2 linked regions of the Astyanax mexicanus genome follow. The protein of the gene in region 2 interacts with the protein of the main gene of each other region in a pairwise test. Links are inferred from orthologs where the notes say so. Each region holds a gene or a part of one and is shown on either strand. Other genes may lie near its edges.

Region 1 (3,928 bases), on a different chromosome or scaffold from region 2:
AGCAAATTAGAGAAGCAGCCTTGTGACTGGAAGGTGACCTGTTTGAGTCCCTGAACTGATAGAACCTGACTGGAGTGCCCTTAAGCCTCCTGCTGCAGGCATGTGAACTCACTGTTCCCTAGAGTGTGTGCTCACTAGTATGTGCATGTGTGTGTTCACTGCTTTAAAGCTGAGGACAAATTGTGAAACCTTGTGTGCAGCACTAATGGAGAACTGGCAGTTCTAGTTATAATAATATTCTGAAGAATCTCATCTATTTCATCTATTTATTTATGGCTGGGCAATATGACTAAAAACTGATATGTCTAAATGTTTCAGGATTAACAAAGTATGGTGTTATCAGTTCAGTTACTCGTAACACCATTGATAAAACGTAGTATGTAACATGTCTTATTGATTTTTCTGACTGATTAAAACAAAAAAATATCACACAAGTGATTAACAAACTGTCTATTGCGCTTTAAAACACCAGGAAGTGAGGCACACCAGGTCACTGCTCTCTAGAATAGTCTGCTACTCTTTGCTACACATGACAAGTAGTTACATTTCTGGGGAGGTGCATGTCAGGCTGTGTGTAGTGTACGCAGTAACGCTTATAATATGCGTGAGCTATGGTGTACACTCGGTGCAGTAGGAGAAATTGGCCTTAAGCTTTTAATAATGGGTATTTAAATGTATATTTAAGAATCAGTGCTTGATTGGAAAAATTGAATTATATTTATTTCAGTGGTATCAATCACAGTGTCTCAGGTAGGGCTGCAATGATTAGTCGTCATAATAGACAATGTGAATCATAAACTTTTAGTGAAGACTAATTGTTTGTAAAAGCAATGCACTTTACAAATTGCTGGGGACAGAAATTTAATGACACAGCTCACAGGTTTTACAGAGACAGGATGACATTCACAGACTTGAGCAGGTAAGGTAAAATGTGCATTGGAACAGGAGCTGTGCTTTAGAAAGCAGTGATGAAGAAATGGCAGATGCAGTCATTAAATAATTGACTAAACAAAAAAATAAACAAATAAAAGTTACATAAAAATCAGATTAGTCTGATACCAAAATAATCATTAGCTGCAGACCTAGTCTCAATAGTCCATTATGCATGTCTGGCTCTCCATTTTTAGCTAGGCTACTCATTCATTCCTTTTTATTGTGTAATCATTAGCTATTTCCTTTTTTATCCTTTTGCTGTAATGCATTTTGCAATCCAGGGTGGATCAAAAGAGACATCAGTTTTGAGTCTTGATTTCTCAAGCTTTCTTTGTCTTGATTTTAGTCAGTTTTTTTCTGGCTTGTTTATTTGGGAGTTAGACTTCAATCTCTGTGAAGCTGCTTTGTGAGAATTGTGAGAATCAGAACAACTACATCAGTGGTTCACACTGTATTATTAACAGCATCAGTGCTGATTGTATTATTTGGTATGCTGCCTTAAAATGCCTTGTGAGCCACACCTGCTCTCTACCTGAGTAAACTTGTTTATTTTTAAAAGGAGCCATTGATCTGAAAATGGTCAGTCAATGTAAGGTAAAAATGCACACTGAGTGAAAACAGGAGGTAGAGAGTTGGTTAACATGGTGGAGCTGTGGTGCTGGTTAGTGTGGAATACGGTAGTGTACCTGGTTGTAGCTGAAGAACAACAGGGCTCCGTTGTACATCAGCTCTCGGGCCTCTGCATGCTTCGCCTGGGCCATGTACCTACAGACAGCAAAGGGGGGACATTTAAATAGCCATTTAGGAACACTGACAACTAATTAAACTAATATAACCTCTAAAAACGTCTCATAAACTTTTAACTACGTGGTGTGACTCGTTTTGTTAATAATAAACCATCCTACCTAAGCTAACTAGCTCTGTTAGCTGAAGTATTCTGACAGTGAATGGAATCAAATGGGCTGAACTGACACTGCCAGAGCTGTGACTAGCTATCTTAGCCAGATAGGCTAACAGCTGTGCTTCACTGAAGCCCATTTCTGTTCATATTTGAGGCTTTTATGGCTCATTAAAGGCAAAACAGTGCAGCGTGTTGGTAAATCACCAAACTGAGCCGAAGAGTAATTATTTAAACCCCAAACTCTTCAGTTTTAAGTGCGTATCGTTTCGTTAGCAACCATGCTAGCTACAGCTAACAGCCTGCCAGCGTTTTTTTTTGCGAGATTGACGTCTCAACGGGCCAATCAGACACAAGAATCAGTCCCAGGGGTGGGGCAAAGTACAGCCGTTAACCAATAGGAGAAAAGATACGGGTACCGCTTCGCTGACAGCGAGAAAGATCTGGAAATGCGGGCGCCGGGCCGCAGCGATGCAGCGCTTAACTCCAACACCCACCTGAAGAACAAGGTGCGGTACATCTGGTGGGCTTCATAATAGTCTCCCCGCTCTACGCTGGCCCGGAGCTTGCCCTCCACCCGCTGCACTCCGCCGCGATTTCGGCCCTTCGCGCTGTCCTGCTCCGACATCATCCTCCCCGCAAAACGCGCGACCGCTACACCAGCACTGACCCCGCCGGCTCGCCGTACACAGCGGACCTTGATAAACAAAGAAACGCGAACAACCCCTACACAGCTTTCCACTGTCTAATAAATACTAAATAAATGATTATAATTTCAGAAATTAAAATCCGAATTTAAATAAAATTAAATAAAATTTTTATCATTCAAATTTCAGTTTTTAGTAATTACGTTCACATTGTGCTCTGTGAAATCACCTCCCACCACCAGATGGCAGCATGCGCCGCCGCTTCAAGGCCAGTGACTTACACACATATCAAAATTACAGATAATAAAATTAAAAAGCACATTATTAAAGTGTCTTTTGCATTCAAAAAATATATATAAACAAGTCCATATTAAAATTACAGAGCCTTAAACTAATAAAACATATTGTTACAGTTCATTTTGCATTCAAAATGTATACTAAGTAATAAATACATTTTCTTAAAGTGCTTTTTCATTCACAATATCTAAAAATTAAAACCAAAAATGATAAAGTCTACAATATAAAATTGCACAGTCTAAAATGAAAAAAAAAAATCACATTCCTAAAGTGCCTTTATATGCGAAATATATAATAAAGTAAACAACATTGTAAGGAGCGTAAATAAAAAAATAAACATTTTTAAAGTGCCTTTTGCTTTCAAAATATGTCAACAAAACAGTGTTTAATATGATACATATTGTATTCATGTATGTGTGTATGATGTGTATTATATCTGTACATTCTCTGGTCTTCAGTTATTAATTTCAGACCACCAGCATGTAGGTACTGCCTAATGTGGCCCTTTTGAGTGACAGCTTTTGAGTGATATTGAAATTTTGAAAATCTGTGGCCACAAATGTGATTTGTCTAAGTGCAGAAGTAATTAACTGTCACTTTTCAGCATGATAATGCCCACCCACACACAGCAAGGGTAAATATATAACAAACACTACACTTTAGTTACAGGAAACATTTTAAACATAAAAAACATAAACATAAACATCCTCTGGTCATTACACTTGATTATACTGTGAGTTACTAAATGGCATTTCGGGACAATGCTCACCCACACACAGCAAGGCTTTACTAGGAATGTGAAGGTGAAGAGTCTCCATTCAGTTTTTCCTAATAATCATATAATTTCGTTCTAATACTTTCTGTACAAAAAAGACAATATTATTTAAAATTCTGTTGTTTTGACTCTGATAAAAATCTGTAAGAATGAAGATCAAAGACAAATTAATGTTTTGTAATTATATTAGGATTTAAATTGCAGACATATGAAATTCAAAACGCTGTTTGTGGTTCAAACCTAACAGTGCCCGTTTATGAAAAACACCATCACTAAAGTATGGTGCTGAGAGCATCATGTTTCGAGGATTATTTTTGCTTGGACTGGGCATCATGGGCTAACAGTCTTTTTTTTTTTAAAGATCAAGAGACAAATAAT
Region 2 (3,928 bases):
CCTCTTCCTCTTTCATACTTAAGTGCCAATGTGGCCAATCATGAATCTGCATCAACAGAAACATTGTGTACACACATGGCAGTAGCAAAGCTGTAACAACCAGGCTAAAGCAAATGTGGGAAAGAGAACAATTATGTATTGAGTTGATTTATGTGGTTTTAAGGGATTTGCAGCCATCAGCTATTGGCATTTTTTATGATAAGGCAGAAGGAGGTGGGGGTCATGTGGAGCAGTGCATAAATATATTGGGATTGAATCATATACTGTATAATATTGTAAAACATGTAGTTTCATCATTATTAAACTTAATTCTTATTTATTTGGTTCTTTTTGGGACATTGAAAGTCTGTGCTCATGCTAACTCACTGGCTGTAAGTGGGAATTCTCAGCATGTAATTCAACACACAATACTGTTTGTAAAAAAAAAAAAATATGACTGTTTCATACAGTCAATACTATGATGTCAGAAAAAGTAAACGCGTATCATATGATTATTGCACATCCTTATTAATGAAGTATAATTGCTTTTTGTTAATGCCGTTCTTTCATTATATTGATGATACCATAACGTCAACTCCTTTTTTGGCAATTTTAGTTTACTAACATAATTGACACACATTGTCCCTTACAGTGTGTGTCTAACTATTAAATAGATTCTCCAAAATGACCTGAAATAAATGATTTTACATTGACGTCCACTAAAGTTTATAGTTAGTAATATATCTTATATATGTACCTGTTGTTTCTTTTTTATTAGTAAGACTGAGCACAAGCTAAATAAACGTGTATTTATATATCTAATATATGCACCGATTGTTTCCTCTTTATTAATAAATAAACTTAACCAAGGCTAAATAATCTTTTTGCATTTATATCTAATACAGCTCTGGGAAAAAAATAAGGGACCACTTGAAATTATGATTTTCTTTGATTTTACCAAATTGAAAACATGTGGAATATAATTAAGAGGAAGATGAATCACCACAAGCCATCAAACCAAACTGAACTGCTTGAATTTTTGCACCAGGAGTGGCATAAGGTTATCCAAAAGCAGTGTGTAAGACTGGAGGAGGAGAACATGCCAATATGCCTGAAAACTGTAATTAAATTTACAACAAATATAGATTTCTGAACTCTATAAATATGAACTTTATGAATATGAACTTGTTTTCTTTGCATTATTTAAGGTCTGAAAGCTCTGCATCTTTTTTATTGAAGCCATTTCTCATTTTCTGCAAATATAGGCTCTAAATGACAATATTTTATTTGGAATTTGGGGAAAATGTTGTCTTTAATTTTTAGAATAAAACAAAAAATGTTGATTTAACTTAAACATAAACCTATAAATAGCAAAATCAGAGAAACGGATTCAGAAACTGAAGTTGTCTCTTATTTTTTTTCCGGAGCTGTATATGCACCTACTGTTTCTCTTTTATTAATAAATAAAGACTGAACACAGGCTAAATAAACATTTTGAGTTATATATCTAATATATGCATCTATTATTTCTCTTATTAGTAAATAAAGAATAAATACAGGCTAGCTAAAGGCTGGTGCAGTGGCTGTACCTGAACACACCCCTCCGCTCGAGCTGCGTGTCGCAGTATTTCTGCGACGTGCCCCCGGTATACGACAGCAGCGCGCGCCTCCGCTCCTTCTTTCTCTCGTCCTAAAGATGGCGGCAGGGGTGAGTAAGATGGAAGGAAAGCTGTTTTTAGCGTCACGCCGCGTCTCTGCCTGCAATCCTGCTTGAATCTTAGCCATCCTCGGCGCTAGCCTGTTGATTCGTAACCGGTCAGCTTCTCTGGGCTGTATTGGAGCCTCAAGGCTGTTTATTTACGTTATAAAGCGTTATTTCTCCCGCAGCTTCAGCCTGTATTTTGAATGAGCAGCTGGGAGAAAGTGGGAGCAGCAATGAGCCGCTCAGCTGTGCCACGTTTTATGTTCCGGTGCAGCGGAGCCGCGTGCCGGCTGCGTTTAGCGGCATAACACCGTTTCAGAGCCGTTTAGGTCTAATAAAAACTGTTTATGCTGATAATTTGTAGGTGAAGTGTCTGTGTTTCAGTAGAGGCAGCTGTTCGGAGGCTGACTAGCGTTATGTAGGTACCGGTAAGTTAGGCTGGTTAAAACAGGGGGTTCACCCAGTCATCATCCACTAGCTCATCTCCCCCATATATACTAAGCTAGCTAAGCTATAGGTCCCCTTTATTTAGCATTTTCACACCTTAAATAGTTGATCAAATTATAAATTATTGTTTTAAACCATGGTTGAATCAATTCTGAATAAACATGTTATGTATGTGCTATCAGGATGCTGTGTAGCTGTGCTGTTTCATTGTATTACATTATTCATTATTAAACTAATTTCTCATTTATGTGGTTCTTTTTGTGGCACAAATTGACTAGTCTTTGCCATTGTTGGCATAAGCTAAATGTCTGAAACTGATAATTCTCAGCAACTAACAGTTCTAATACAGCTCTGGTAATAAATAAGGGACCACTTAAACATGATGCGTTTCGTTGATTTTAACAAATTGAAAAGCTCTGGAATATAATCAAGAGGAAGATGGATGATCACAAGCCATCAAACCAAGCAAAACTGAATTTTTAACCAAAAGCAGTGTGCAAGACTAGTGGAGGAGACCATGCCAAGATTAAAAATGTGAATTAAAAAACAGTGTTATTTCACTCTTACAACTGTATTTCACTCTTACAACTGTATGTGTATGAGCTTGTTTTCTATGCATTATTTGAGGTCTGAAAGCTCTGCATCTTTTTTGATATTTCAGACATTTCTCTTTTTCTGCAAATAAGTGCTCTAAATGACAGTATATATTTTTTTGAATTTGGAAGAAATGTTGTTCGTAGTTTATAGAATAAAGCAACAATGTACTCAAACATATTCCTATAAATAGCAAACACTGATCCAAAAACTGAAGTGGTATCTTATTTTTTACCAGAGCTGTATATTGTATTGACCTTACTGGAAAATGCTGCATCATGATTTGCACGATTGAGGCCTTGATGGAGTAGAATAGTTATTTTTCTGTAACCGCTCTTTTAGATAGATTAGCATTATTATTGCATCGCAGATGAGGATTGCAAGCAGGATTTATATCAAGTGTTTTTTTTTTTAAGAAACAGACACTAATTTTACTAAACTAAAATCCTTTTTTTTTTATTTATTTTTTTATCTCTCCATAGACTCTCTACACATACGCAGAGAACTGGAGGGCCTACAAGGCTCAAATTGCAGCCCAGTACAGCGGGGCTCGTCTGAAGGTGGCGAGTTCCCCCCCTGCCTTCACCTTTGGGCAGACGAACCGCTCCCCTGCCTTCCTCAACAATTTTCCCTTGGGCAAGGTTGGTAAATACTCTTTACATTTCATTGGCTCATCCTCTGTGCAAATGAGTTCTCATTTTCTTCACTGATGTTCGTTCTTGTCTCCTTTTTAGGTTCCAGCTTACCAGGGTGATGATGGCTTCTGTCTGTTCGAGAGCAACGCCATTGCTCACTACTGTAAGCATCTCTTTTGTGGACAGTTATGAGTATTTCACTAGTGCAGTGGTGCTTTTACACTTGCCTTGTTTGGAATGGGCTCTTTAGTTTGGTTCAAACCAAAAAAGCAGATGCAATAGGGGCTGCAAAATTCTGTCTGGATCTACTGAGCCATGGTCCAGTTTATCTGCAGTGTGAATTTTTTTTTTAGGCGGTACACATTTTTGGCACAATTGCAGGATGTTGATGCAAGTTGTCCTTAGCCTTAAAACAAATCCGAGTTAAAAAAAAAAAAAAAAAACTGAAATCAGACTTTTTTTTTTTTTTTTTACTTGCAGGCACGATACACTGCCGTATGGATGTAAACGTATAAACTGGGGATTGTTATATCTGCTGCAACTGTAGATTTAACTCTTATTTGTACACAAA

What was found.
Region 1: the proteins of eef1g (region 2) and get4 interact in a two-hybrid assay, tested with the Homo sapiens proteins (2 studies listed by BioGRID and IntAct, with this or other methods). The link is inferred for Astyanax mexicanus from reciprocal best matches to the Homo sapiens genes EEF1G and GET4.

Annotation. Positions count from the first base shown.
Region 1 is NC_064422.1:21,153,071-21,156,998, reverse strand, and holds the start of get4 (Golgi to ER traffic protein 4 homolog), read right to left. Parts: upstream 2,514-3,928; 5' UTR 2,463-2,513; coding exon 2,329-2,462; intron 2,099-2,328; exon of another isoform or gene 1,839-2,098; intron 1,699-1,838; coding exon 1,620-1,698; intron 1-1,619. UniProt on the Homo sapiens protein: As part of a cytosolic protein quality control complex, the BAG6/BAT3 complex, maintains misfolded and hydrophobic patches-containing proteins in a soluble state and participates in their proper delivery to the endoplasmic reticulum or alternatively can promote their sorting to the proteasome where they undergo degradation.
Region 2 is NC_064417.1:39,784,458-39,788,385, forward strand, and holds the start of eef1g (elongation factor 1-gamma), read left to right. Parts: upstream 1-1,589; 5' UTR 1,590-1,675; coding exon 1,676-1,687; intron 1,688-3,204; coding exon 3,205-3,363; intron 3,364-3,456; coding exon 3,457-3,520; intron 3,521-3,928. UniProt on the Homo sapiens protein: Probably plays a role in anchoring the complex to other cellular components.